4 linked regions of the Sus scrofa genome follow. The protein of the gene in region 4 interacts with the protein of the main gene of each other region in a pairwise test. Links are inferred from orthologs where the notes say so. Each region holds a gene or a part of one and is shown on either strand. Other genes may lie near its edges. The genes, in order: YES1, EHHADH, TUFM and FUNDC1.

Region 1 (7,422 bases), on a different chromosome or scaffold from region 4:
TTTCAAGCTGTCCCCTAGCTTTCTCATGTAGCAGACTGGCCCAGAGATTCCATGATTTAGGTTCCTCATCACTCAACACATATATACCAGATATCTATGCCGTGGGGGAGGGACACTGGGTGTGGGGGGTGAGGGGGCTTCATCATTTGTCCTTTTCACAAATAAAGAGATTGTCACTTGAAAGCAATTTTTATTATACCAAACTCAGTGAGACTTTGGAGATTTTTTGTCTCTTTTGTTTTTATTTTTTGCTTTTTAGGGCCATACCCATGGCATGTGGAGGTTCCCAGGCTAGGCGTCTAATCGGAGTTGTAGCTCCCAGCCTACATCAGAGGCACAGCAACGTGGGATCCGAGCTGCATCTGTTACCTACACCACAACTCAGAGAAACGCCAGATCTTTAACCCAGTGAGCGAGGCCAGGGACTGAACCTGCGCCCTCAAGGATTCTAGTCGAGTTAACCACCGAGTCAGGACGGGGAACTCCTGTCTCGTTTGTTTTTAATATCCGTGGGAGTCAGTGAACTACTGAGTTTAAGACTGAAGCTTAACATTTGTACCTAGATGAATATTCCAAAAGGGAAAACAGGGTACCTTTTATGAGGTAACAAAAATAATCAAAATGAAGGTTAAGAGAAGAAAATTCAGTGATAAATATAATACTTTATAGATTTTGACACACACCTCCTCTTCCCCTTAAACCTTTGTACCGAATATCTTTAAAGTCACTTCACCCCTTAAACTGAGGTAAACAAGTATTATAGCATTGATTTTTTTTGAGGCTGTGAGTTTAGGACAAGAAAAATATCTCAGGAATCCCCACCATGGGACAGTGGGTTAAGAATCTGACTGCAAAAAAAAAAAAAAGAAGAAGAAGAAGAAGAAGAATCTTGACTGCAGTAGTTTGACTTCCGTCACCACAGAGGTCCAGGTGTGATCCATTTGGGGTGCAGTGGTTAAATGATCTGGCATTGCTGCAGCTGTGGTGTAGGTTGCAGCTGTGGCTGATACAGTCCCTGGCCTGGGAAATTCCATATGCTGGCCATACAATTGAAAAAATATATCTCAGAATTCCCTGTGGCTTCTGTGTTAAGTATCCAATGCTGTTACTGCTGTGGCTTGGGTCACTGTTGTGGCTTGGATTTGATTCCCCCACGGGTGAACTTCCAAATACCACCAGCATGGCCAAAAACAAATCTGTATGCATTTTTTTTTACATGAAAATTTTATTGCCCAAGAAAATTAAGGGCAAATGATGTTTCAGAAGCTAAATCAAATAATAAAGCACCATGTTACATGTACCTTTTAATGTGAATGCCTATGCTTATCTTTGGTACATTTAATGAGCTGAAATTTTTTTTTCAAACCCTTATATGCATTTACTAAGTTCCTAGAATATCAGAATACTGACACGTGATGGTACTACTTCATATTTGTCGAAGATGTTTCTGAATTTCGCTAAAAACCACAAAGGAAACCAACAGCCCCAACATTGTTGTGATAATCCCACCAAAGAGGAAATACGAAGAGGAAGTTAATCTGAGTCTGAGAGGGCAGAAGTGATTTTAGCAGAGGATTCAGCCCTTTCAGACACTGAGTGACCCTCAGTTTTTTTTGTTTTTTTTTTTTTTTTGGCTTTTTGCTATTTCTTTGGGCCGCTCCCGCGGCATATGGAGGTTCCCAGGCTAGGGGTCTGATCAGAGCTGCAGCCACCGGCCTACGCCAGAGCCACAGCAATGCGGGATCCGAGCCGCATCTGCAACCTACACCACAGCTCACGGCAACGCCGGATCGTTAAGCCACTGAGCAAGGGCAGGGACCGAACCCGCAACCTCATGGTTCCTAGTCGGATTCGTTAACCACTGCACCACAACGGGAACTCCCTGACCCTCACTTTTAATCTCAGCTTCTTCGGGACCCTCTCCTTTTCTTCTCCATCGGCGACTCACTACAAGGCCAGTAGGAAAAGGTGCTTGGATGCAGGTGAGCAGGATTCCAGTTGGGGCTGCTCCGCGTTCGTCGGGGTGGCAGTCTCAGTTTCCACAACTGTCGAACAGGACAATACCTGTCCAGTTCCTTCGTTGGGATCTTGCCACGATCGCCTAAGAATACGGTCTCCTAAAACAAGCCAAAGCCACCATTACTGGGAGAGTCGCCAACAGAACTCGGCTTGGGTTCCCTCTCTCCGCAAGGCTGGTTCGACCAATAGTCAACAGGAAGCTCCTGGGGCTGGGACAGGATCCCTGGATCGGAAGGAGGCCAGACGCGAACGTTTTTTGGACGGCAGTCAGGACCGTGATGAGGGTGTTAGTAACGCCCCTCTGGCTCACGCGGCTGGCTGAGATTTTACTACCAACGACAAAGGGTGCGGAAGCATAGCGCTGAGGGGCAAGCACCCAACTCACCATTTCCCCCCTCCCCCGTGCCTACCCCGCAAAGACAAAGCCCCCGGCAACTACAGAGAGCCTGGCGAAGATAAGGGGAAACTACGACGGGGTGGAAGCGAACTCCCGCTCCATCTCCCGCCGCAGCCGAGCGGGCGGCCACAAGGTCCGCGGGTGGGGAGGGGGCGCTGTGGTACTGCGCTCCTCGTGGAGAAGCGCCTCCTCCTCACGCCCCCTTAGCCTGCGCCGCCTCGGGAATCCGCCCCGGACCCCGCCGCCATGTTGGGTCGGGAGAAGTAACTCGGACTCGCCGCTGACCCCGACCGCCGGAGGGCGGCCAACAGCCCAGGAGGGGCGCGTGCGGAGGCCGGAAGGCGGGGTCGCTGGAGCTCCGCGCCGCGCGAGTTCCGGTGACCGGTCGGCAGCGCAGGTAGTCCTCGCCCCCGCCCCCGCGCAGGGGGCGGAGCCTGGAGTGAGGGCGGGCCCCGCACGGGGAGGAGGCGGAGCGTGAGGCCGAGGGGTGGGAGAGCCCGGGAATTCCCTCCTCCTGAAGTAGCGAGTCCTCCGCTGGCTGTGCAATCGTTCCTGCCGCCGGGCGCCTGGGACGAGGAGGTGGAGGAGGGAGAGGGCCCCGCGGGCCTCGCCTCCGCCCGCCGCCCCCTCCCCGCCAGCCCTCCCCGCCGTCGCGGCGACTCATGCGAGCGCAGCTGGAGGGCAGGTAAGGACCTTTCGGGGCCCCGCGGGGGGAGGTGGCCGACCCCGGCCCACAGCAGTAGGCCCCGGCGCCCGGAGGCGCCGCTGCTCCCCGCCCCCGCCCGCTCCGAGTCGGGAAGTTGGGGAGAAACTTCTCCCCTCCCCCGGCCCCGCTAGCCCGGCGGGTGTGTCTCCTTCCCGGCGCTACCTGCTTGCCCCCAGCCTGGGTCTCCGCCCCGTCCAGCCCTTCTCCATCCCGCCCTAGTCCGCCCTAAGGTCCTCGCTGCGCTGGGACATCCGCACAAGCGTCTATAAGGTCGTGCGGGCCGTCGGCCAAGGGGGCAGCGAGGTTTATTTTGGCCGAAGTTAGGGGTGAGGGCTGTGGCCTCTTTCCGACCCAGGGGTCGGGGGTCTGCGCGTTGGCGGACGCCGGGTGGCAACTGTGCCGGGAGAGCGGGCGTGGTTGGGGGGAGCGAGTGGGTGAGCCTCTCGCTGCACTTGGTTTGATTGAAAACCGCAACATGTTAAAGTTTTCCTTTGTTTTGGGTTGGGGGTTGGGAAATATGCCGTTCTGCGGGCACTTTTACATTGTTTTGCAGTTCTGCCTCCCATTTGGTTCGGTTCTCTGTCCGCATGTGTTAAAGAAAATTTTGTTTTTAATATGTTTTTCTTTTTGGTAATTGCTTTCCGCTTTTGCTTCATTGGACATGGGGCAGCGTTGTTTTAAGAAGCTCTTCGAAAATCAAGTCCGATGTAGAGACCGCTTTAATTTTTGCTGTGTGGTGGTTGAATTATTTTCTGCTTAATTAAAACAGGCATGGAATGACAATTCATAAATTATTAAAGAAATGAAAAGTTGAGTCTCCATTCGAATAAAACTTTATGTTCATGCCATTATCATGGGAACATACATAGTTTCCACTGGTATGTGTGTTCACATAGATGATTTCACATATACCTATATGTGATTGTAGTATATTCGTGTATTGCAGCTGCAGGATTGCAGTACCAAAGTTATCTTGATAATTCTAGTGTGTTTAAACCATCCTGTTAAATGTTTATAGTTAAATTACATGAGGAGGAAAATATTACTATATATGTACATGTAAGTGTGCATTTAAAGCAAAGAAAGTATGTGGCAAATCTAATATCTTAGCTAGCACAATGGTTGGCACACAGTGGACAGGAAACAACATTTTGAATGGACAGGTAATGGAGTGTCTTGTATTAGAAGCCAAGGATCTTGTATGTGTCACATGATTTTCATATATTGGTCTATATTGTATGTCAGTAAACCATATTTCTGTTTTGTTAATACTCTAGACCCCTGCCATAGCTGACCCTTTAATAAAAGGAAGTTTAATTGTACTTTAATTTTTGGACATTAGCTAAACCTCAGTGGAGATTTTGAATGCTGGTTGAAAATTCATTGGTTCCTAAACTTGGGGAGAAAAAAAAAGACTGCGATCTGATTCCAAGTACAAGACAGTACAGTTCATATCTATGTTTCCAGGATAAAATATGAAAGCGCTCTTAAAATATGTATTCTGCTGTAACCACCATAATGTTATAATAGCTTTAATTTTGCAGTATGCTTTTGCTGACTTCATAAACCACAAAATTGACTCCTTTCTGTTCAACCAAAAGTGAAATTACAGCTTTGACCTATCTTCTGGGATAGGTGGAATTTGTCTTACAGCTGATGTATAATATTAATGTATGGTTCAAGTTTTTTTTTTTTTTAATCAGTAAATCCTCAAATTGAAAAATAATCGTCTATGCAAATCAATCTCCTTCATGTTATGTAACATTAAAAGAATAAATATCCTAAAGGAATAGTAATGACCCATTGTAATGAAATATTACCAACACATGGTGTAAGACTTGTTTATGTAGAGTTGCAATTTGCATCTTTTTAGGCAGTAAATAGTTTATTAATGTGAGTAATTTTTCTTAATATATTTAGCTCTTAACCTAGTGATTCTGTTTAGCATAGATATCATTAGTTCCTATTAGCATTATATTTAAAAAGAGCCTAATATAAAAAAATTTTGGTACTATTTCTTTTTATAAAAAACTTTTAAAGAGAGCGGTATTAAGGTTTGAGGTCCAGGAATGCAAACTTGGGTGATAAAGCTATGTATTTTTTAAGAATCTGCAAGGAAGTGATTTCTGTAAAAAGTACTGATAAGAGAGGAAGGAGGAAGTTGTGATTGGGACCTGGCTCCTGAAGTGGTGGCAAAGTTCTACCTGATGGTGGTTGCAAGGGTGTTGGCTTTCGTGTGTAATTCATTAAGCCGTATGTTTATTCTGAGTGCCTTTCTGTGTCTGTAGTTTAGTTTATATGAAACTGCCCCCCCCCCCTTCAAGACGCCTATGTGTAATGTACTTTGTAAGGTTCTTCCACTAAAGGACTTAATATTTGGTGACTGACTTAAGAACACTGCCTGAGCTGCCCTTTGCAAACAGGATTAGACCTGTTAAATCACAACTAGCATATGCCAGTAGTTAGTGTATGTAACTACTTTCACATGTGAATAGCATGTTAATTATGTTAATATTTTGAGGGAAGACTCCAGGTTTTACTAACTTTAATTTCAATTTTTGTATGTTGTGACAAATGGTAATCAAAAAATGTTTATTAAACTAGTGGACACTGTTCTGTCATCAAGTATAAAATATCCCCTATTTTTCTGAAGATTGTGTATGGTAACATGACAGTTAAAACCTACAACTTAACTGTGGCATCAGAGTAGTAATTCTTTCATTTGTTTTCAGTTTCCTGACACAGTAATTGTTCAGGTCAATAATTGCAGCCTGTGTTTTGATATTCTTAAGGGTATCTTAAAGTTCTCAGCATAAAATAAGTTTTTGTGTACCTAAAGGAATAGTATGTTTTGTTTCAAGTGACAAAAATGCTGTGAATCATTGCCTTATGCTACTTTACTTGCTTTATGTAATGGCTTGCTGTTTTAGTTGTTGATGTTGCTTTGCATTGTTGTAGAGTTGAAGAAGAGATCATTATGTGCCAAATTCTTACACTGCAGGAACTTTCAGTCATGTTATAAAGGTGATGTTTGTGGCCCTGGCTTTGTTGTGTGAATATTTACAGGAAGTTTTAGTTAAGATCTTCCATTGTTCAGAAACCTACATGGCTTAGGTCACCTTCAGTTCACATTTAAACAGGTCTGTAATACAAATGCAAGTTCTTCTAGCGAGGTGAAACTGCTTTTCTTTAAAGGAAATCATCTGTTTCTGTTAAAGTATCTTGGTATCTCATTGGTAGTGTGTGTGGCAGTTTGTGTGGCCGTGGCGGGGTACGTATTAGCTCTTTTCTTCCTCTCAGCTGCTCCAGCGCCACAATTAGGCTGCCTATTGCTCAGCTGCAGCTGCTGGGTGATTATGATCCATCCAGCTCCTGTCTAAACTCAGAGGCAGATTTAGCAAAAGGAGCTATAGTAACAGCAGAGGGTGAAAGAGAAGAGCCGGTGCCTCTGCCAGTATCATTTTAACAAGTCTGTGTGCCAAGGAATCGTTGGCTGCAGCAGCACTACTGTTGTCTTGGAACTGGCAGACTTGATAGCAACACATCCTGGTCTGGGTTGGGTTTACCTGGTGTTGTTCTTTAAGATCTTAATGCTCATTCTGGGAAAGAGAGGGAATCTTGTAATTTCAGAGTACAGGATAATGTACTTGAGATTACTGATGAGCCAGGCTATGCCTCTGCTCCCCCTTTCCCCCATCAGTGCCCTTCACTTTTCCTTGTTTGAGTATATATGTGATTTCAGGTTCTCTGAACCATATATATTCTGCGATGCTTTAAGCTGTGTCTCCTAGAAGTGCTGCTCTGTTACTGTTATCTGGTGGGTGACAGAGCTGATGTACAGATTCTTTGGACTCCCTACTTTTCTTCCAGGAAGTGGAAGACCTTTAGGAGGGAGTATTCTAGAACTAGCTGCACATGACATATCCCGTGGCTGCTTGAGTTTTGTAAGTAGGAACTCTAGATTACTTTTCCTATTGTTCTTTCTTCATTCCTGGGGTATGAGAAGATGGATATCAACGAACACAGATACAGCATCAGCAGCAAGCCCCAGACTAGAAGGTGCTATAGGCAAATTTTGTTTCTTCTGAAATGTTGTTCAGTTTATAGTCATGGCAAGTGAAGAGCAGCAGCATCTTGTTGTCTTTTTACCACTAGAAAATCTGGACAGTTCTCCTGCTAATTCTGGCTTTGGAATTTAGTGGTTCAGGATTTAGTTAATTTGGGAATAAGAGAGTATTGGGAGAAGTAGCTCTCAGACTTGTGTAACCGGAAGGAAGAAAGAAGCCCAGAAGACTACACT
Region 2 (6,980 bases), on a different chromosome or scaffold from region 4:
CAAATTGATTATCCTGATTCTAAGTGGTCAGAGTTACAGCAGAATGCAGGAAAACACTTTTTTTTTTTTTTTGTGCCATTTCTTGGGCCGCTCCAGCGGCATATGGAGGTTCCCAGGCTAGGGGTCTAATCGGAGCTGTAGCTGCCAGCCTATGCCAGAGCCACAGCAACGCGGGATCCAAGCCGCGTCTGCAACCTACACCACAGCTCATGGCAACGCCAGATCGTTAACCCACTGAGCAAGGGCAGGGATCGAACCCGCAACCTCATGGTTCCAAGTCGGATTTGTTAACCACTGTGCCACGACGGGAACTCCGGAAAACACTTTTTTTTCCCTAGAGTTTATGTATTTAATCAGCCCAGTGCTTATTTTACAAGAGACATACTACTTTTTAAATTAATAAAAGCTTAATGATAGTATCCAGGATTTTAATCCATCATGTGTATGTTTACTTTCTCATTATTAGGGAAGGAGTGAAAAAATAAAATTTTGAGATGGTAGAAATTCTATTCTGATCAATACATCACATAATTTTCTTTTCTTGTAGTGTGTCTGTACTCCATGGAATAAAAGAGGGGTTGCAGAAAGCTCTAACAGATCATACAGTAAAAGCCATTGTGATTTGTGGAACAGATGGCATCTTCTCTGCAGGTAACTAATGTTTAACCCTTTCCCACTATTTCTCAAATCCAGCCACAGCCTGAGATCAATATTTCATTAGCTGTCCCTGTGGGTAATACCATAGTGTGAGTAATGAATATAGGAGACTTGAATGGGAATGAGAAACACTATGGAGAAAGAGACAGGAGTCACAGAAGAGTCCCAGAGAAGATGCTGACTTTACCCCCTTTCAGTTGGATTGGGCCTTTGGAGGACATTTAGTTCCAGGCTTGATGGCTATTATACATATTAGTATATACCTGCTGGTACATACCTGCTCTGCATATGTCTCTATGCTGTGTGAGCTTGGGCAAGTCCCTTTAATCTCCTGAACCTCAATTGCACTATAAAATATACTGTGACGTTTATATCTTAATAGGTTTTTGTGAGACTAAATGAGATAATGTATCTAAGAGCCCCTAGAGCAGTGCCTACACGCAGATGTTCAATAAATGTTATTTTTTACTTCACACAGAATCTTGAAGTTTATTTTTCTCCTGATAGTCACTCGTCTCAGCGACCGCGGCACTCTTTATTGGGTTAGCCTGTGAAGATGCAAACGTAGTGATAAAATATGGCAAAAGTATCTGAAAAGGTGATTTATTCAGTAGTATTTGTGGCACATTTTATTCTTTCTCCAAGTGAATATAGTATACCCTTTGACAAAATTTACATGGGCATGAGGACCCATGTATTCTTAAGGTAGTCAGAGGAATTTAATGTATGCTGGCAATAGATGGAGAAGAAATAGCTATTGAAATCATGACAGTAAATAAATATGAAGACATTACTCATTATAATAATTACCATTTAGCATGCCTGCTATGTGCCGGTACTGTGTAGCTTATTTATTTATTGACGATGAAAATAGTAATATTTTTAAACACTTTATAGTTTAATCCTCAGTAAATCCTATAATTTCCATCTGCAGATAAGAGACTGAGCCTAAGATAGATTAAATAATGTGTCAAACATTAACCAGCTATTAAATGGCTTACTCAACTGTTTGAAGACTTGAGTTTGGGAGACAAGATGGTGCTTTGAGGCATGGAGTAAGGGATCAGAAGTATGAAAAGTCAGAATTGATATTTCTTTGTGGGAAAGGAGGTAGGAGAGAATGCAGTTAGGTTCAGAGGCAAAAACAATAATTGTCCTAGAAAAGCATTAGGGATTATCAGACTTAACTTAATGGACTTATATGGAACAATGCGCCAGACATTTGGAAAATATATATTCTTCTCAAATTTGCAACATTTACAAAAATTGATCAGGTACTGGATCATGAAAGCTTATCTCAAGAATTTCATTTAGAATGTGTTCTCTGACCATAATGCAGTCAAGCTATAAATCAATAACAAACTAACTAGAGATTCTCAAGTGTTTGGAAAATAAATCCATTTCTTAATAACCTCTGAGTCAAAGCAGAAATCAATGCAGTTTAGAAACTATTTTGAACTGAATGATAATAAAAACAGCTTGAGGAATACAAGCTCAAGCTTAGCAGGAAATTTATAGCCTTAAAGATATACATCAGAAAACAAAAAAAAGCAACCATATTGTGGTAAGCATCTATATCAAGGAACTGTCAGAACAGTAAAATAGATCCAAATGAATTAGAAGGAAGGAAGTAGTAGAAGAGAAATTACTAAAATAGAAAACAAATGTGAATCAAGAGAATAAAAATGTCAGAAGTTCTTTGAAAAGACTAATAAAACTGATAAAGCTTCAGTTAGACTTATCAAGAAAAAACAAGAAGGTACAAACAATACGCATAAAGAATGACAGATATCACTGCAGATGCTCTGGCCATTAAAAAAGATAATAGGAACAAGTAGAAAAACACAGCTTATAAAATTGACTCAAGAAAAAATAGGAAATCGTTAAAGAAATTGAATCAGTTTTCAGAAATCTTACAAAGTAAATTCAAGTCCCAGATGACTTAATTGGTAACCTTTAACTGAAAAGTCAAGGAAAATATTATTCTAATTTTACAGGAACGTTTCAGAGAATAAAAATAAGAGTTTTACTTCCTATATGAGTTTCCTGGGGCTGCCATAACAAATGAGCAGAAACTGAGTGACTTAAAACAACAGAAACATATTCTCTCAGAGTTCCATAGGCTAGAAGTTCAAAATCGAGATATCTGCAAGGCCAGTCTTCCTCCAAAATCTCTAGGGAAGAATCATTCCTTGCCTTTTACAGAGTCCTATGTCTGAACTAGTCACTTAACCTGAAAGCCTTAAATTTCCCTACCTGTAAAATGGAAACTGTTATACTACTTAACAATGTTAAGAAAATTAAATAAGGCAGTATATAAATCTACTTAGCACAGTGCCTGATATATAGTATTTATCTAATAAATGTTAATTGCTACTATTACATGAAAAACTATCTTGGGAGTTCCTGTGGTGGCACAGTGGAAACTAACCCAACTAGTATCCATCAGGATGCCAGTTTGATCCCTGGCTTTGCTCGGGATTTCCTTTTTTTTTTTTTTTTTTTTTGTCTTTTCTTGGGCCGCTTCCTGCGGCATATGGAGGTTCCCAGGCTAGGGGTCTAATTGGAGCTGTAGCCGCCGGCCTGTGCCACAGCCACAGCAACGCAGGATCCGAGCCATGTCTGTGACCTATACCACAGCTCACAGCAACGCCAGATCCTTAACCCACTGAGCAAGGCCAGGGATCGAACCCACAACCTCGTGGTTTCTAGTCGGATTTGTTTCCACACTGCCACGATGGGAACTCCTGCTCAGGATTTCTGATAAAGATTTGAGGATTTTCTCTCATGTCATTCAACATTTTCCAGGCTATTTGTTCCTTTACTGTGTCTGCAGCCAAGGATGAAGTGTTTCATGGGTCCAAAGAGGTTTGAGATTCCTTAAGAGTTATCTGAGGAGTTCCTGTTGTGGCTCAGCAGATTAAGAGCCCAACTAGTATCCATGAGGATATGGGTTCGATCCCTGGCCTTGTTCAGTGGGTTAAGGATCTGATGTTGCCATGAGCTATGGTGTAGGTTGCAGATGCAGCTCGGATCCCATGTTACTGTGGCTGTGTTGTAGGCTGGCAGCTGAGCTCTAATTTGACCCCTAGCCTGGAAATTCCCATATGTCACTGGTACAGCCCTAACAAAAGGGGGAAAAAAAAGAGTTATCTGGTTACTTTTTGTTTTATAGCAAAGCCCAAGTCTTCCTCTACTGTCTTTTTTCCTTGTCTTTGTATTCTTAGGTGCCGATATCCATGGCTTCAGCGCTCATAAAACCTCTGACTTAACACTGGGAGATATAGTAGATAAAATACAGAGATATGAGAAGCCTGTGGTGGCTGCTATCCAAGGCTTGGCTTTAGGAGGAGGACTGGAGCTGGCCCTGGGCTGTCACTATAGGATTGCCCATGCAGAGGTAACAGAGGGGATCTATAGGGGATTTGGTGGTGGGGCTTTTATTTAGGGCAAGCTCTAAATGTAGTCCTAAGCATCAGAGATGTTAATTTTAAAGGGTTGGCTTATTGGTTGACAACTCTTAGGTATTTCTAGCACTGGTATTAGCTATTTTGTACCAATACATTAGTAGTAGTTGTTGAAAGGTTGAAAATATCCATTTTATTTGATAAATAGCTGATACCCTGAGCCCATGACTGTCCTTCCACTTCCCCTAACCCCAGCTCTTGGACCTCCCCATGACCCACCAACTAAAGCGGAACTCCTGTTCAGACAGGACCTGTAGAATCCTGCTCTGTTACTGTGGCTCACATGTCAGATTTCACTGAGCCATGCTCATGCAGTATGAAGTATTAAATATTTTGACTGTCACCCCTGAGTATGCATACTTATTTAAATTTTCATTTCCTATCACAAACATTTCAGTTTTGTGGTCTCATAATTATTAGTACCTAAGACAAACTCCCATTGGAAATAGCACACAACTAGTAAATCCATTTATTTCTGGAAATAGATTTAATTTGGATTATTAGACATGTAGATTGAAGTTTGTGATTCCAGTCTTACAAGAGTATTTTTTTTTTTTTTTTGTCTTTTTATGGCTGCACCTTTGGCACATGGAGGTTCCCAGGCTAGGGATCGAATTGGAGCTGTAGCCATCAGCCTATGCCACAGCCACAGCAATGCCAGATCCGAGCCACGTCTCTAGCCTACACCACAGCTCATGGCAATGCCAGATCGTTAACCCAGTGAGCGAGGCCAAGGATCGAACCACATCCTCACGGATACTAGTCAGATTTGTTTCCACTGAGCCACGATGTGAATTCCAGTAATATTTTTGTAAATAATTCTTTTTTCTTTTTAGAGCCACACTGTAGCACATGGAAGTTCCCGGGTTAGGGGTCAAATGGGAGCTGCAGCTACAGGCCTATACCACAGCCATAGCAACACCAGATCTGAGCCTCAACTGTGACCTATGCTACAGCTTGCAGCAACGCCGGATCCTTACCCTGTTGAACAAGGCCAGGAATCAAACCCACATCCTCATACTATTTGGGTTCTTAACCCACTGAGTCACAATGGGGACTCCTATATTTTTCTAGTAATAAATATAATATTCATCATTGTAATAAATTATAAAAAATATGCATAAAAGTATGAAGATGTAAACTAAAGTCACCATAAACTCACAGTTCAGAAATAACCACTGTTAACATTCTGTTTTATTTCCTTCTGGTCTTTTTCCTGGGTAATATCTTTTTCTTACAGTTTTGTTTTTCTTTGCAACCTTTTAATTAAAAAACCCCCAATATTTGGAATTTTATTCTCCTTCATTTGAACTCTATTTTTATACTAATAGCATGTTTAAAGTGTTATTAAATAGTCTTTATCCATTCTGCCAATATCTGCTATTTACATTTAACATAATTATTTATAGTTGCCATTTTGCAATTTATTTTCTGTACCTTCTTTTTTTGTTATTCCTCAATTCCTCCACTAACACTCTTGTTTGTGTTAAATAGATATATTCTAGTGCCCTTTAACTTCTCTTATTATTTCTTTTACTGTGTATTTTTGAGTTATTTCTTAGTGGTGATTGCCCTGGGGATTATAAATAACATCTTAATTTATGACAATCTAGTTCTGATTAGTACCAACTTTATTTCAATAGTATGCAAAACATTTACTCCCATACGGTTTTGTTACACACTCTCTTTATGCTGTTATTGTCATAAATTATATCATTATGGGAGTTCCCGTCGTGGCGCAGTGGTTGACGAATCCGACTAGGAACCATGAGGTTGCGGGTTCGGTCCCTGCCCTTGCTCAGTGGGTTAAGGATCCGGCGTTGCCCTGAGCTGTGGTGTAGGTTGCAGACGCGGCTCGGATCCTGCGTTGCTGTGGCTCTGGTGTAGGCCAGGGGCTACAGCTCCGATTAGACCCCTAGCCTGGGAACCTCCATATGCCACGGAAGTGGCCCAAAGAAATAGCAAAAAGACAAAAAAAAAAAAAAATTAAATAAATAAATAAATAAATAAATAATATCATTATACATTGCATACCCATCCACACAAAAATATAATTATTACTTAATGTGTTGGTCTTTTAAATTAGATAAGAAAAAAAGAGAAATTACATACAAAAAGTTACATTAATACTGTCTTTTATATTTATATATATAGTTACCCTTTAACAGTATTCTTTATTCCCTCATGTGGATTTGAGTTACTGCTTAGTGTCTTTTCATCCTGAAGAACTTCTTGCAGAGCAGATGTACTAGCAGCAAATTCAGTTTTTATTTATCTGAGAATGTCTTAATTTACCTTCATTTTCAAAGACTAGTTTTTTCTGGATATAAAATTCGTGGTCGACAGTATTTTTCTTCCAGTACTTTGAACATGTCATCCCACTGCCTTCTTGCCTCCATGGTTTCTGATGAGAGATTTGCTGTTACTCTTATTGGAACTATTTCTTAAAAATACCACTTAAAATAGTTGCATAATTTTTTATCTTTATATGTTTACCATAATTTATTTAACCATTTCCCAGTGTTGTTTTAATTTTTATAAAACACAAATAAAAACACATATCCTAAGTGTTCCTTGTTCTGTGTTCCTCATACCATAACCTTCTGCATACTGAATGCAGATCTAAGTTACAAGCAATCATAATAAATCATAAGGGGAAAGAAAGGGGTAGCCAGTGATGGGAAAAATGGTGATTGACTGCTAGGGGAGCATCGTATGAGAGAAGCACAAACGTTCCAGGTATTTTGGAGCTATTGGCATCACAATTTGTGCAGATGGCAGTCTGTATTTAAGTACCCTCCTTCTCCTATCTTTATACCTGGGCAATGACTAACACACCTTTGGCCACTTTTAAGG
Region 3 (7,625 bases), on a different chromosome or scaffold from region 4:
ATAAGGACAGAAGCCAGGAGACCCATTGGAGAGGTGGTGAGTGAGAATCCAGCTTGGAGCCACAGTGTTGACAGTGGAGAGAGAAGTGGTCCCACTGAGATGAACTTGGAGAGAGAACCAGTGGGACTGGGTAATGGATGATGCAGGGGGAGGGGAAAGGAGGAAGGTAGTGCCATTTACTCGGAGGTGTAAGGACAGTGTGGGAGAAACAGAGGGTCCTGTTTTGGATACATTAGGTTCACAGCATCTCAGAGGTAGCACTTTCCTGTTTGGAAGGCTCATTAATAGTTCAAGTATATACATGCAGAGTGGCCTCCTGTGGCCAGGCACAGTGTGTCCGGAGATAAAAGAAGCCCGGTCCTTGCCCTACTCAAGTCACTTAGTCTCAGACAAGTGAAACCAAGAAGTATATCAGGGTACCGAGTGCTGTAAGACAGATTTATCTGTTAGGATGTATTTGGCCGTAAGCAACAGACAAGTCTGACACAGTCTGGCTTAAACAATGAAGACATTTGTCAGAGTTCCCGTCCTGCTTCGGAGGTTAATGACCTGACTAGTATCGCGAGGACTCGGGTTCGATCCCTGGCCTCGCTCAGTGGGTTAAGGATCCCGAGTTGCCAGGAGCTGTGGTGTAGATTGCAGACACGGCTCGGATCTGGTGTTGCTGCAGCTGTGGTGTAGGCCGGCAGCGGTAGCTCTTATTAGCCTGGGAAACTCCATATGCCGCGGGAGCGGCCCTAAAAAACAAACAAAAAACCCCACACACCGCAATTGTCATTTCACACTGCAAGGAAACCAGGCTTCTGAGATCCTTTTCGATTCGCCCTCTTGTGGATTTTGGCTTCATTCTGGACTGAGAGCATGATGGGCACGGTAGGTCCAGGCTTCCCATCCAGACCCAGCAAGTGCAGAGTTAGAAGGAGGGCCATCTTGTCAGCGTCTCCTGCTCCACAGTGAGGAATCCGTTCCTGGAAGCCCTCTCAAGGCAGATCTCCTCTTACCAATCACAAGCCCCAAAGGAACCACACACTTAACCCTAAACAAACCCCCTGGCAAGGAGAATGGGAGCACCAGCAGTGGACTCTCCCTGTCAGGACTGATTGTGGAACTGGGAAAAGGGCCACTTGAATAAAACTGAGGCCCCAACTACAGGAAGATGGAAAAATGGCTGCTAAGCAGGAGCTCAGTCATGGAGCAGAACGAACATGGATGGCTGGGGAGACCCAGAAGGTCATTTGGTTTCAAAAGCATCTTTTTTTTTTTTTTACTTTTTAGGGGAGCACTCACAGCATATGGAGGTTCCCAGGCTAGGGGTCAAATTGGACCTGTGCTGCAGGCCTACACCAGAGCCACAGCAACGCAGGATCTGAGCTGTATCTGTGACCTACACCACAGCTCCCGGCAATGTTGGATCTCAAACCCACTGAGCAAGGCCAGGGATAAAACCTCATCCTCATGGATGCTAGTCAGATTCGTTAACCACTGAGCTACGACAGCAACTCCCAGAGCATCTTTTTTTTGGGGGGGGGGTGGAAGTTCCTGGACCAGAGATCAAACCCGAACCACGGCAGTGACCTGAGCCACAGCAATGACAATGCTAGATCCTAAACTGCTATGCCACCAGGGAATACCTCAAGAGCATCTTTTAAAATTTTTTATTGCTTCTTAGGGCCACAACTGCAGCATATGAAAGTTCCCAGGCTAGGGGTTGAATCAGAGCTGCAACTGCTGGCCTACACCACAGCCATGGCAACACTGGATCCTTAACCCACTGAGTGAAGGCCAGAGCTCAAACTTGCATCCTCATGGATACTAGTCGGGTTCTTTTGGGAACTCCTAATTGATTCATTTTTTTAAGCTATTTGCCATACCAGTCTTTCCTTCAAACTAATACACATTAAAATAAACATGGCGCTGGAATTCCCGTCATGGCTCAGTGGAAACGTATCTGACTAGCATCCATGAGGATGCAGGTTCGATCACTGGCCTTGCTCAGTGGGTTCAGGATCCAGCGTTGTCGTGAGCTGTGGTGTAGGTTGAAGATGTGGTTCAGATCCTGCGTTGTAGACCGGCAGCTGCAGCTCCAGTTCAATCCCTAGCCTGGGAACCTCCATGTGCCGTGAGTGCGGCCCTAAAAACACAATATTAAAATTAAAAACAACAACAACATAGCACTAGAATAGAAAGCATTAGTTCAAGTACCATTCCTAAAAATCTCACATCCTGGTAGTGGCCAACAGTGTCTTAGGATAAATTCCCAGGAGCATAGTGACTGAGGTACGGGCTGGGAACCCTTTTAATACTGTACCAGCCCTTCTTAAGGAGAGCTGATGGGTTTGGAAGGACAGGAGGACAAACATCTTGGCATGTTTCTCATTGTAAAAATGACAGTTAAATTACAGAATAGTACATTGGCTAAGTGCACACTTTCTTGGAGTTTAGTTCGGCTGGGTTCCTCAATCATCCTGATGCCAGTTTTCTCACTGGTAAAACAGAGGAAATAATATTCCCACAGAATAACATTTGGCACTTTGAATGTGAACCAATATGAAGCATTTTCACAGTGCCTGATCCATAAAAAAGCTCTAGATCTGAATTTTCCAACCTCCCCTAAGCCTAAGAAGGGTGTATATATGTATTATGAATAAATATAGCTTTCTTGTCTGTGCCCAGACACTACTGAATCATAATCTCCAAGGAGGAATTAAGGAATCTATTTGAAACAGACACCGTAAATTGAGTCTTGGGATCTGATGAGTTTCAGAAACATTAATCAAGGTTAAGCAGCTGCTATTATCCTTGCAAGGTGATGAGATGATGGATGTGAAAGTTAAAGGTCATTTGCTATCCTTGCACTCATTCATTCAGTCAACAGACATTTATTGAGCACTCACTGAGTGCCCCGCCCAGTGGTAGGTGCCAGGGACACAGCCGGAACAAGACAGGCTCAGGCTGCCCTCAAAGGCACCAGAGGCTGGTCCCTTACCTGGTCATCTATAAAACTGGGTGGCTGGGGGGGACGACGATCAAGGGAATTACTCCCTGGGCTGCTGAGAGGCAACAGGGGTGGACGGCAAACTGTCTCCGCAGGCTGCGAGCCAGGAGCGAGGGTCAAAGACCGTGGGACCTGGAGCCTTCTGGACCCCGTTCCCGCCTCCTACCTAGCTCCCTTCCTTTCAGACCCAGACGCCAGGATCTGTCCATGAAGCAGATACTACTACTTCCATTTTATAGATGAGAAAACAAAGAGTCAGCGGAGAGAAGGATCACACTAGAGCCCCAACCCCGAAAGACTCCCAGGATCGTCTTCCCCCTCAGAGTTGCAGGGCCTGGTCCTACCTCCAGCTGCGAGATCTGGCCACCAGATGAGTCGCCAGACACGCGCAGTGGGTGGGACTCCACGGGGTTCGGGGCCAGGACGTTCCTGGGTCAGCCACATCCGGGCCGCCGCCTCTGCCTCAAAGAGGGTCGAGACCGTCCTTACGTACCCAGCCTCGGTCTCCCTAACTCTCACGCTAAGTGCCCGCACAGCCTGTCGCCCTGGGAACTACAACTCCCATGAGCCTCCGGGGCGCAGGTGTGCTTTGCGGCGCTCATCGCCCCCCGGCGCCACCAGAGAGAACTGCGTGGCCCCTGAACCCGCGAAGGCCAGGGGCGTCTGGGAAACTTTCTTCATCCTTCCCCACCCCAGAGGCACCAGCGTCTTCCTGGACGTCTTCGGTCCCGAGCCCGGAAGTTGACAGGGAGGGTCATAGAGACTCGGGGCTAGAAGTGCCCAAACTTGCCCTCTCGGCCCTCACTTCCGCCGGAAGCCGCTTCCAGCCTCAATTGCCCTTTGCTTGGTGCACGCGCCGGGGTCCGTGCGCCGTACCCACTGTTCCCGGCGCTCGTAAGACCACAATGGCGGCCGCCACCCTGCTGCGCGCGACGCCCCTCTTCAGCGGTGAGGGGGCGGGGAGGGCGATGGCGGCCCGGGAGTACACGGGGATCGTCGGGAGCGGCCAGGCTCAGACCCGCGCCCTGACGCCAAGCTTCTGCCCCGGCAGGTCTCGGCGCTGGCCCAACATCACTGTTGCAGGGTCTGTTGCGGCCGCTGAAGGCCCCGGCACTGCCCCTCTTGTGCCGCGGCCTGGCCGTGGAGGCCAAGAAGACCTATGTGCGCGACAAGCCCCATGTGAACGTGGGTACCATCGGCCATGTGGACCACGGCAAGACCACACTGACCGCAGCCATCACGAAAAGTAAGCGGATTTGGGGCGGGGGGGTCGGGCATTCGGCAGCGCCCGCTCTGCAGGCGGGACGTGGCGCCGGGGAGGTGGGGCCCGCCGGAACGCTGCTGGAGGTGTTTAGCATGGGCCCCAGGAGCCTCACCTTGGGTGGGCGGTAGATTGCAAGACTGGGGAGACAAGACTTCCCGTCGAAATGAAGAACTTTGTGATGCATAAATGGGGGGACCCCGAATAGCCTCCCTCCAGCCCGGAGGAGTGCCCCGTAAAGCAGAAGCGTTACCTTAGAGACGTCCCAGGGCTGACCCTTGACGCCCTAAAAGGTGAAGTTATTTCCGTTCCAGGAGTCGAAGACGAAGGTCTTGGAAGCTTGCTTTCTCCCAGGCTGTCTCCCGTTTGGGTGGGAGGGGCCCAGAGGTGTGGTCTGAGCCCTGCCTCTCCCTCCAGATCAGATCCTTAGCTGAGAGGTGTGCTCTCCTCCCGTTAGTTTTAGCCGAGGGAGGCGGGGCCAAGTTTAAGAAGTACGAGGAGATCGACAACGCCCCAGAGGAGCGAGCCCGAGGGATCACCATCAATGCGGCCCACGTGGAGTACAGCACTGCCAACCGCCACTATGCCCACACAGACTGCCCCGGTCACGCAGATTACGTTAAGGTGAGAGAGCTGCTGGGGGCAGGCCCTGGAACTGCTCCCCCGCGCACCCCCCCCCCCATCGGGAACAATGTTAGGCTTGTGGGGAGGAGGTTAAGAGAGCCAAGATGTGTGGGTTTGAGATCATGGATTTGGGGGCCTGGCCAGTGGAGGTGGCAGGGGGAGGTGGGACCCCAAGTCACTGAACTACAGTTTTCTCTCCTTTCCTCACCCAGAATATGATCACAGGTACTGCCCCGCTGGACGGCTGCATCCTGGTGGTAGCAGCCAACGACGGCCCCATGCCCCAGACCCGAGAACACTTACTACTGGCCAAGCAGGTACCCAGAGCCAGGGTATGGGTGGAAGGAGGAAAGAGGGCAGAGCCTTCACTCACAACACCGTTGCTCCCTCTCCCGCCTGCAGATTGGAGTGGAGCACGTGGTGGTGTATGTGAATAAGGCGGACGCCGTTCAGGACTCTGAGATGGTGGAGCTGGTCGAGCTGGAGATCAGGGAACTGCTCACAGAGTTTGGCTACAAAGGGGAGGAGACTCCGATCATCGTGGGCTCTGCCCTCTGTGCCCTTGAGGTGAAGGCGGGGTCAGGCCGGGCATCCCGAGCTCTGCTCTGAGTCTGGGGAGTGGCTCTCGGCAAGTTAAGGGGAGCAGAATGGAAGTTTCAGGGTCCTGTCTACCTCCCGCCCGTAGCAACGTGACCCTGAGTTAGGCCTGAAGTCTGTGCAGAAGCTGCTGGATGCTGTGGACACTTATATCCCAGTGCCCACCCGGGACCTGGAGAAGCCTTTCCTGCTGCCTGTGGAGTCTGTGTACTCTATCCCTGGTGAGGACTCTGCTCGCTCACATTCCTTCTTCTCGCAGAAGCTTGCCCAGGGTCCCTGATGTCCTGTCCTGTCCTGTCCCCTCCCAGGCCGAGGCACGGTGGTGACAGGCACGCTCGAGCGTGGTATTTTGAAGAAGGGAGATGAGTGCGAGTTCCTGGGACATAGCAAGAATATTCGCACTGTGGTGACAGGTACAGGAGGCCCTGGGCCCCTGGGGCTCCAGGCTGCCCTCTCCCCTTGTGGGCCACTTGCTCCTTCCTTCTGCCCCACACCCTCCCTCGTCTCTCCTCCCTCCTAGGCATTGAGATGTTCCACAAGAGCCTGGAGAGGGCGGAGGCCGGCGACAACCTGGGGGCCCTGGTCCGAGGCTTGAAGCGGGAGGACCTGAGGCGTGGCCTGGTCATGGCCAAGCCGGGTTCCATCCAGACCCACCAGAAGGTGGAAGCGCAGGTGAGGGCTCCGGGCGGGGTGGGGATGGGCCGGGCACTGTGGGCAGATGTGGTGCTTCCAGCCAAGCCCAGCTGCTCCCTCATTCTCTCACAGGTTTACATCCTCAGCAAGGAGGAGGGTGGCCGCCACAAGCCCTTTGTGTCTCATTTCATGCCTGTCATGTTCTCCCTGACTTGGGACATGGCCTGTCGGATCATCTTGCCACAGGGGAAGGTAGGGCACATGTGAATGTGGGTGACTTTTCCCTGGTGAAGAAAGGCTGGATGACCATGCAGGTGGCACTGGTGATAGAAAGGTCTGGATCAGTGGATTGAGGGGGAACGCGTCCTGATCCATCATTTACCCACCCGCAGAAATTTCCCAGGGAAAGAGTTCCCGTTGTCGGGAGTTCCTCTGTATTGTACCTAAGGGCTCAGTGAAGCCCTGTGAGCAAAGAACCTGTATGACCCCAAATCTAAACATTTTTTTCTTGAGAATGTACCCGAGGACTTCTCATCACCAACGCATTTCTGCCTTTGCATATGCTGTTTGCATGTGCCTGAGAGCTGGGATGAAGGTCTCTCCAGAAAGAATCATCACCCTGCCGCACTTGCCCATAGCCTTTAACCTCCTTGGTAGCAAACAAACGGGGAAGGGAGGCGCCCTGAAGACCATGCCTGGTCCTTGTCTCTGCCCTCCAGGAGCTCGCCATGCCCGGGGAGGACCTGAAGCTCACCCTCATCTTGCGGCAGCCAATGATCTTAGAAAAAGGCCAGCGTTTCACCCTGAGGGACGGCAACCGGACCATTGGCACTGGCCTTGTCACCGACACGCCGGCCATGACCGAGGAGGACAAGAACATCAAATGGAGTTGAGTCGGGACCTCCGCCAGGGCTCTCTTGTGTTCCGGGCTGCACTGGCCCATGTTCTCTCCTACCTCTCTGGCGCCCCGGTCCCAGGGCAGAGGCTGCAGCCCAGCCTCTAGTTACAGCTAGACTGACACTTCCCCTGGCCAGAGGGCCACACGGCTGGCCAGGTGAGGTAGGTCAATAAACTGTTCTGTAAATAGCTGGCCTGTGTGTGTCTTGTGTCCTTTGTACACATTGGAGAGGATAGAGTGGGAAATACAAAATCCGAGATGAAGCCCAGGACAGGTGAGCTTGTGAGATCCCTGAGCCGTCTGAACTGAGTTCAGCTCTCTAGCCTCAAGAGGTCACTGCTGGTACAGGATGGAAAAAGCTCCAGCCTTCTTAACACCCCCAGCACTGCTGGAATAACTTGAAAAAGCTAAAGAAATCGAAAACCCGTCTAGTGAGTTTTGTAGGATTGCCTAGCAAAATGCTATATTCGACAGGCTCCGTGCTGGATATCCTGCCGGGAGGTCCAGGGAAAGTATTTGCTTATAGCCTGGGCCCAGTTCAGGTGCCAAACCCCACCCAGTTTCCTCTTTGAGTAGTTACTAGGCTGTTGCCACCTAGCCGTCCTCGCAGCTAGGTG
Region 4 (7,599 bases):
CAGAGAAGTGTGTATGAGCTGATGTTATACCCTGGGATTCCTCTGCCCTCACCTGGCCTTTAAAAATGCTTTGCTGAGTTCTCGTCGTGGTGCAACGGGAACGAATCCGACTAGGAACCATGAGGTTGTGGGTTCGATCCCTGGCCTTGCTCAGTGGGTTAAGGATCCAGCGTTGCCGTGACCTATGGTATAGGTTGCAGACACGGCTTAGACCCCGAGTTTCTCTGTGAGTTAGGCCGGCAGCTGTAGCTCCGATTCGACCTCTAGCCTGGGAACCTCCATATACCACGGGAGTGGCCCTAAAAAAGCAAAAAAAAAAAAAAAAAAAAGTGCTTTGCTGAAACCCATTGAGGAGTTTGGGCATTTTTTTTTTCATTTATTTTTTTCATTTTTGGCCACCCCTTGGCATATGGAGCTCCCGGGCCAGGAATCAGCTCCAAGCAATAGTTGAGACTTAAGCTGTAGCTGTGGCAACACCAGATCCTTAACCCACTGTGCCAGGCTGGGGATGGAACCCTCGCCCCAGAGCTCACAAAATGCCGCTGATCCTGTTGCGCCACAGCAGGAGCTCTGAGTTTGGGCTTTCTGAGCATTAGCTGTGCTAGACCCTTTGTATGGTGCCTTACAATAAACAGCTACACTTGCCTTCACCAAAGCCTGGTGTCAGTAGATTGGCTTTACTGTGTGGGGGCAAGCCGACTCAAGTTTGGTTCAGTAACAATACCTTATAAACTGTTGAGTTCAGCAGAACACAGAGATAAATGCCAGTGGGCTAGAATCAAGTATGTAACATAATCCATTTCAGTTTATCAAGTCTTAATGCATTTTTAGCAGACACTGAATCAATCATTTGCAATAAAACCGTAAATACACTTGGGTAAACAATATTTTTCACTTAAGCACTTTCCTGTTATTACAGTCTTTTTAAACGTAACATTCAGTCATTTCCATAACTAATCATCTGCTGTTGGACGCTTTCCACTTTCCCTATTGTTTCTATTCCTTTTCATTACGAAAAACCAAACCAAACCAAACAACAACTCTGTAGCAACATCGGTAGAATAAGAACTCTTTATATTGTCTTTGGCACTGATTGTTAGTGAAGTGGCCTCTTTAAGATTGTGGATTCACATTATCAAAACTTGTACCTGTTTGCACTCCCGCCAGCTCGTACACAAAGCATCACCTTTGCCACATTTTTCTCAACAGCAACTGATACTCTCAGTACTTGGAAAGGTCACTGAGACCATTTTAAGTGTGTAAACGTGGGGTGAGTGGGCTCCATTGTGTTGGGATTAGTTTTAGCCAGGGGGAGGGTTATCTTGTCCAGGGAGTGTGAATTGTTCGTTTGTTATTTTGTCTGCCTTTTGTTTTTCTCAATTCTGACGAAATTGTTTTTAACAAATGAGGTTTTCAACGACAATGAGGAAAGATGGCGACGAGGAAGGACTAGTTTCATTACAGTTTCATTATGGATGAAATAGAAAATGTTCTCTGTTTCAAGTAAATTACTCATAAACTTTTGGAACCCTACCCATTGAAAAGCTGGAGACTACCTGAATTATGTTTTGGTACAGCCGTAGATAAGATATCGGTGTTCACAATGAAAATGTTTATTAGGACTAACTGAAAAAAAAAAAACCGCATCACTATTCACTATTCAAAATGGGAATTAAAAAATCACCCTCTTGAACCCACCAGGAGGATCCATAGCTCCGTTTAAACTCTGTGTACACAATTCACACATTCAGCTGTTCATCACCGAGCCAACAAAATGACAGCTTTTTCAATACTGGGAAAGAAAAAACCTCACACTAGAAAAATATATTAAACAACCAACTTCCTTGAGGTAATGGCAAGGGCGTACTGCAAGAAAAAGGGGAGAGCATTAAAAAGTTCATTCTAGCCCTCAAGTCCTTTAGAGAAATGACTGCCTTTTAATTCATTTTTGGACAGGTTTCAGATACGTTTTGGATACAGAGATCTCTTCTTGGGCATCATAAGAGCAGTGTTTTGTTCCCATTTTCTCCCTCATTTCTCCATAATCATTTAATTTGAAACACTATTGCTTTGATAGGAAAGCTGCTTCTTCCTGTAGTTGGTAGCTACAGCTAGAAGCATGTGACAGTGTCATTTGGGCGTCATTGGCCCAGTCAACCCTCTTCCAATTTGTAATTTTTTTCCTTTCTTCTCCTTTCTGTTCTTTCAGTGGCCCATCACTTGCGATTTCTCTTATTTGTTAGCACCTCATGAGGCATAGATGGGCAATGAGGAGGAAGGCGTGTATGAACTCAAATCTGTTAACTCTTGGAAGAAAATATTTCAGTGGGGACTTCTGAAGTTACGTCCCTTAAAGTGATTTTGTTTCCAAAAAGAGTCACCTTCCACAAAGTGATCACAAACATCTCCAGGCAGTCTTAGAATTGCATTTTGAGTGGCACAATCAGAGGAGCTTGAGAGAATCAACCTTTGCATTTAAAGCACCAGGATTTGAAAAGCCAAGTGCAATTATGTAAGTCAATATTTTAAGGAAAGCAACTTCTACCAGAATTTCTTGTTTTTTCCTTCATATTCATATTCTCGGAATAGGAATACTGATAGGGCTGTGTTAATTGTACAACGAATGGCGGTGCAAAGCAAATTCAAAACAAGTTTGGGGTTGAGTTAGTGACTGGGTGATTAACACAGCTTTTCATTCAACTGAAACCCGTAGGGCTTCTGGGAGAAGAACTTGACCTCGTTCCCTCTGTCAGATTCAAATAATAAAAATGATGCTCAAAAATTATGTCCTCTTGAATAACGCGTGTCAGGTCAGTTCCTAGGCCTTCCTCTTCCTCCCTTGGGTTCCTGGCAGGAAACGTGTGGAGAAGGAGAGGATGAAAAGGTTCCAATTCCCAGCAGCAGCGCGTTAGAAAAATTTTCCATCTGTTAGCCCTTGACTCCTCAGAAAAGTGTGGCTTGAAACGGGGTTTCTCTTACCTCTTTTCAAAAGCCTCTTTCTGGTACAGCGCTACAAACGGCAAGCTGCTTTTCGACGTAACCGCCCTGTGACACCCCCTCCCCTCCAGACCTGAGGCCCTTTAAAACAAAATAACAAGATTCTTGTTCTGGAAATTCTAGAGGGGGAGGGGTGGGAAACCAGGTTTGTAGATGGCAACGGACTACAACTCCCACAAGCCCTCGCGGGCTGCTAGCCGCGCCCCCTCCCCTCCCCCCTCCCCGCACCCCCTGAGCCTGACGCTTGCGCAGAAGGCCCTGCGCTTGGAGGAGGAGGCGGGGACAGGACAACGCGCCAGGAGGAAGAGGAGGAGGAGGAGGAGGAGGAGGAGAAGGAGGAGGCGCAGGCGGAGGAGGGAAAAAAAGAGACCATAGACTTCCACCTGGGTCTAGAGCGGCTCTTAAAGTAGTAGGGAGAGGAGGGAGGGCTGGGACCACCTTCAGTACAGGCCGCCGGCGGTATCATGGCGACCCGGAACCCCCCTCCCCAAGGTGAGCGGCCGGGCCCCGAAGTAGTATTTTAGACGCGGCTCACAGCTCTCGACCTTGCTTTGGGGGCGCCTCTTCCTTTCCCTGACCTAGGGTTCCTGGGAGCTCTGTGGTTTTTTTTTTTTTGGAGGTAGCCTCTTTGAGTACCCCCTCCCCGCAGGCGAAGAGGGGCTCCCTCCCCTCCCCCAACACAGCCCCACCTCCCGCCTTACCTACACCTACGGCCCTTTCTAGCTGTCTTCTAATGTTTTTAAAAATTTTGGCTCTGAAGTGATTAATGCTCCACTGACAGACCCGACTCTGTCAGTGGAGGATCCCCCTTTTTTTCTCCCACTGAGAAGAATGGACCCTGCGCTGACCCTGAACCTGAGACTTGAGGGTAACCCTTCCTGCTGTGGAACTCTGACCGGACCCTATTGAGACTGGGGTGGGGGTGGACCCGGCTGTGAAACTCCGACCTGACCCTACTGAGATTTGGGGGCGGGTGACCCCTCTGCTGTGTAACTGACGTTGCCCTGACTCCCCGGGCTGGTTCCTGAGCCTTTAAAAGCGAGATGCTTTCGAGGCCCTAGTCTCAGGGATTGGGTTTAACAAAGTTTGTTACCATCTGGGCGTTTTTAGCTGTTTGCCAAAAGTAGCAATGAGTTGTAACAGATGAAAAATGTATAGGGCATTTTTAACTTTCGGTTGACTGTAAATGTGTTGCTTTCGTTTTCCGTTTTGAAGACTATGAAAGTGATGATGACTCTTACGAAGTGTTGGATTTAACTGAGTATGCCAGAAGACACCACTGGTGGAATCGAGTGTTTGGCCACAGTTCCGGACCTATGGTAGAAAAATACTCAGTGGCCACCCAGATTGTAATGGGTGGAGTGAGTGGCTGGTGAGAACATCTTTTTTCCTTGAATTTCATTGGGAGCCTGACTACTGTCCTTTTGTATCTGGGCCAATTCCGTGCTCAGTCAGTGGCTTTACACTGTTAATCCCTAAAGAGCTGTACCTTGAGGCTTTTCTCTGCCCTAAGATGAGTGTAATCTACTCTCACAGACTCTTGGGTTTTGATGATCCTCCTCCTCCATGCCCTCCCCTGTGCCCCCTCCTCACCCTTCCTTTGGTTCTTTGTAGATTTCCCCCCTTCTCAGCTTTAGCAGATGTTATTGGATCCGATTCAGTGACAGTGGCTAAAGAGAGAAAAACATAAAGGAGAAGAATTCATTATATGTAAATAATTTCTTCCTTGTGCTCACATCTGGAAAACGCTCTGAACTCCCACAGTAAAACTGATCCTCAGGAGTATCAGCCCCGTAGAGAGCAGTGTAAAATTCTCAGTAAAAATGACTGATTCTGTCCATTTTTAGGGGCTAGTTTGGATTGTGCTAATACGCTGAGGAAGAGCTGTAGAGCATTGGGTCTACATTGTTGGGAATAAAGGACTGATTGCTTACACAGTAGTAATGTTATGGAGGACGTTAAGGGGGAGAGGTTAATAAGCATTAACCTAACATTAATTAGGTTAACATTTCAGACCACATGATTGTATCATTGCCACTATGGATCCAATTCTGTTAGTCTTAGACTAAAAGATTAGCCAAATAACACAGGTCAGAAACAAGTTTGACCCTTTGTTTTGAAAATGTTTATGACCTTGAGAGAATCTTTGAAATTAGTGTGGGTGCATAACTTGTGAATAGTCACTTTTTTTCTTACATTCTAAGTTAAATTCATCTTACATGAATTTAAATATGTACAAACTTGATAAGTATAAAAGGAAATGTTTTGATTTGTGTTGTACACTCACCTTGGAATAATGGGGCACTCTTTTATGCTTTTTTTAATAAATGTCATTTTATGGTAGAAACACTCATTGTGAAGATTCTGTAATGAAGAGACGCTGTATTTATTCATAATGTGTACTTATTAATGCTGCTTATGAACAAAGCCTACAGTTCGAGAGAGGCCTAGTCAGAGCCCTGGTTCTTCAGATGATCCTTCACAGGCTGGTTGTACCTCGATGCCCACAATTCAGGACCTGGCCTTCTGCTTAAATAAGGCCACAGTTTGGTGCCATAGGCTGATTGGTTAATGTGAGTCACGGTCTGAAGCCCCATCTTAAAAGAGACTGAAAAAAAATAATTGAACACTAGAATTATATCATTGTGTATTTTCTCTTTGTAGGCCAAACTGGGTGAGAAGCCCTGTAATTGACAGAAGTTTGCTGGGAAAGCCTAGAGACAGAACAGGGAAATTAAATTAGTAGGTTTCCTGTAGTGGCTTGTATGCCATAGCAGGCAAAGGATAGACATGCTTGTGGAGCATACTCTCTGGGATATAGTTAAGACCTGGCTGTTGCTTCTCTCCTCTGCTCCCTTTTCGGAGTCTTTGCTGCTGTCTCCTGTACTGAGGGCCACATGTGTTTGGACTAGAGCCAGATGTCCATCCAGGAGCTGTGTAATAGACCTATAATGTTAAACAGGTGATTTGTTGTGCTGACTCTAGATTCAGTGTAATCTGTTTTTGCAGTTTTCTTAGGGTATGGAACTGTTGAACTGTTGTGGCATAAGTTAAGGAAGAATGGCTAACAGACTAATCCGTTAACAATTCAGACCAATTCAGGACATGAATGGGAAGCTAAGGAGATTATATTTAGCTGTCGGTAGCTATAGGTTCTTGAGCATGATGAGAAATTAAAACTGACAGCGGCATGGGTGGCTGCCGGGTGAGCTGGGAGGTGTGAAGATTAGTTAGAGGGCCCTTAGTGTGATCTGGAGGCAAGGCAGTGACACCCTTCAGGATGGAAAGAAGACAGAATCAAATACTGTTTTGGAGATCCCCGAGTGTAGAGAGCTGGCAGTCAGTTGGACCCCAAAGGCGATGAAGAAGGTGATCTGAGATGAGCGAGAGGAGGTGAGCCTAGAGAACGGTACTGTCGCTTACACACCGGCACCTTAGCAGCAGTTTTCTTGGTTGGAAAGATGGTGTTTGCTTTGGGACACTTTGAACATGTGGATCTGGGTGCAAGAGAAGCTCATCAGGTAATTGGAAATGTGAGATTTCCATTTATGAAGGTGTATTAGTTTCCCAGGGCTGTTGTGACAAAGCATCATGACTGGGTGGCTTAAAATGAAACTTATTCTTTCACGGGTCTGGAGGCCAGAAGTTTGAAAGGTGTCACCAGGGTTGGTTCCTTCATGGAGGCTCAGGGAGACTTTGTTCCATGCTTTTCTCCAGGCTTCTCTTGGTTGCCAGCAATCCTTGGCATTCCTTAAGTTGTAGACACATCCCTCCAATTCTGCCTCTGTCATCACATGGCCGCCTTCCCTCTGTGTGTCTCTATGACATATGGGATTTGGGGCCCATCCTACTCCAGTTTGGCCTCATCTGAACTAATTAATCTGCAATGACCTTAGTCCAAAGGTTCGGGGAAGGTCAAGGACTTGGGGAAAATCCAGTACAGAAGGCTCGAGTTAGAAATTTGAGATTCTTTTGCACACCGTGGATCTGGAACACTGAAGGGAATAATGAGCTCACAAGAAGTATGGGTTGACATCCTTACGGGATAAATGAGACAAAACAGGTTTAATATAGGCATAGAAATGGACAGGGAACCCATGAGAAATGAGGTATAGTCCTGAAGGTGGAACTCCAGCTGGACCTTAAAGGGTAGAAAAGTTTAAGACAGGTAGAGCTAGGTCAAAACCTCTAGAAACAGGGAGATGAATAGCTTGAGCAACAGTGGTGTGACCTGTATGGAAACTAATTGGGTTGGAGCAGAAGGTTTGGGTAGAGAGAGGTGAGGGTCGGCCAGGTGTGCAGAATGCCTTGACCGTGTTAAAAAAAAAAAAAAAAAAAAAACCAGAACAAATCAATTTTATGATGGGGAATTCGAACTTAACACGTAAGTGTAGAAGAAGAGTACAGTGAACCCGTGGGTACTCAACATGGAGTTTCAGTAGCTAGTTCTTTTCCTATAAATTCCCCTGTCCTGCTCTCCATCCCTTGTTTTGAAACACATCTCGGGTAGTTGAGATTGTGCCCTTTTGACTAGTCTAACTGAAGGTAAACACGGAGCATTCTGAGTAGCTAAGGGACATGATCAAGAGAAATGGGAAGACA

The links.
Region 1: the proteins of FUNDC1 (region 4) and YES1 interact in binary tests that used the Homo sapiens proteins (3 or more experiments, as listed by UniProt). The two-hybrid records come from large-scale screens. The link is inferred for Sus scrofa from reciprocal best matches to the Homo sapiens genes FUNDC1 and YES1.
Region 2: the proteins of FUNDC1 (region 4) and EHHADH interact in binary tests that used the Homo sapiens proteins (3 or more experiments, as listed by UniProt). The two-hybrid records come from large-scale screens. The link is inferred for Sus scrofa from reciprocal best matches to the Homo sapiens genes FUNDC1 and EHHADH.
Region 3: the proteins of FUNDC1 (region 4) and TUFM interact in binary tests that used the Homo sapiens proteins (3 or more experiments, as listed by UniProt). The two-hybrid records come from large-scale screens. The link is inferred for Sus scrofa from reciprocal best matches to the Homo sapiens genes FUNDC1 and TUFM.

The regions. Positions count from the first base shown.
Region 1 is NC_010448.4:105,503,216-105,510,637, forward strand, and holds the start of YES1 (tyrosine-protein kinase Yes), read left to right. Parts: upstream 1-2,868; 5' UTR 2,869-3,101; intron 3,102-3,427; exon of another isoform or gene 3,428-3,448; intron 3,449-7,422. UniProt on the Homo sapiens protein: Non-receptor protein tyrosine kinase that is involved in the regulation of cell growth and survival, apoptosis, cell-cell adhesion, cytoskeleton remodeling, and differentiation.
Region 2 is NC_010455.5:123,150,533-123,157,512, reverse strand, and holds part of EHHADH (peroxisomal bifunctional enzyme), read left to right. Parts: intron 1-547; coding exon 548-651; intron 652-3,884; coding exon 3,885-4,057; intron 4,058-6,980. UniProt on the Homo sapiens protein: Peroxisomal trifunctional enzyme possessing 2-enoyl-CoA hydratase, 3-hydroxyacyl-CoA dehydrogenase, and delta 3, delta 2-enoyl-CoA isomerase activities. Catalyzes two of the four reactions of the long chain fatty acids peroxisomal beta-oxidation pathway.
Region 3 is NC_010445.4:18,520,694-18,528,318, reverse strand, and holds TUFM (elongation factor Tu, mitochondrial), read left to right. Parts: upstream 1-3,613; 5' UTR 3,614-3,900; coding exon 3,901-3,943; intron 3,944-4,046; coding exon 4,047-4,241; intron 4,242-4,713; coding exon 4,714-4,880; intron 4,881-5,092; coding exon 5,093-5,197; intron 5,198-5,282; coding exon 5,283-5,447; intron 5,448-5,565; coding exon 5,566-5,698; intron 5,699-5,785; coding exon 5,786-5,890; intron 5,891-5,997; coding exon 5,998-6,149; intron 6,150-6,242; coding exon 6,243-6,362; intron 6,363-6,829; coding exon 6,830-7,003; 3' UTR 7,004-7,200; downstream 7,201-7,625. UniProt on the Homo sapiens protein: GTP hydrolase that promotes the GTP-dependent binding of aminoacyl-tRNA to the A-site of ribosomes during protein biosynthesis. Also plays a role in the regulation of autophagy and innate immunity.
Region 4 is NC_010461.5:39,733,322-39,740,920, reverse strand, and holds the start of FUNDC1 (FUN14 domain-containing protein 1), read left to right. Parts: upstream 1-3,257; 5' UTR 3,258-3,461; coding exon 3,462-3,489; intron 3,490-4,212; coding exon 4,213-4,369; intron 4,370-7,599. UniProt on the Homo sapiens protein: Integral mitochondrial outer-membrane protein that mediates the formation of mitochondria-associated endoplasmic reticulum membranes (MAMs).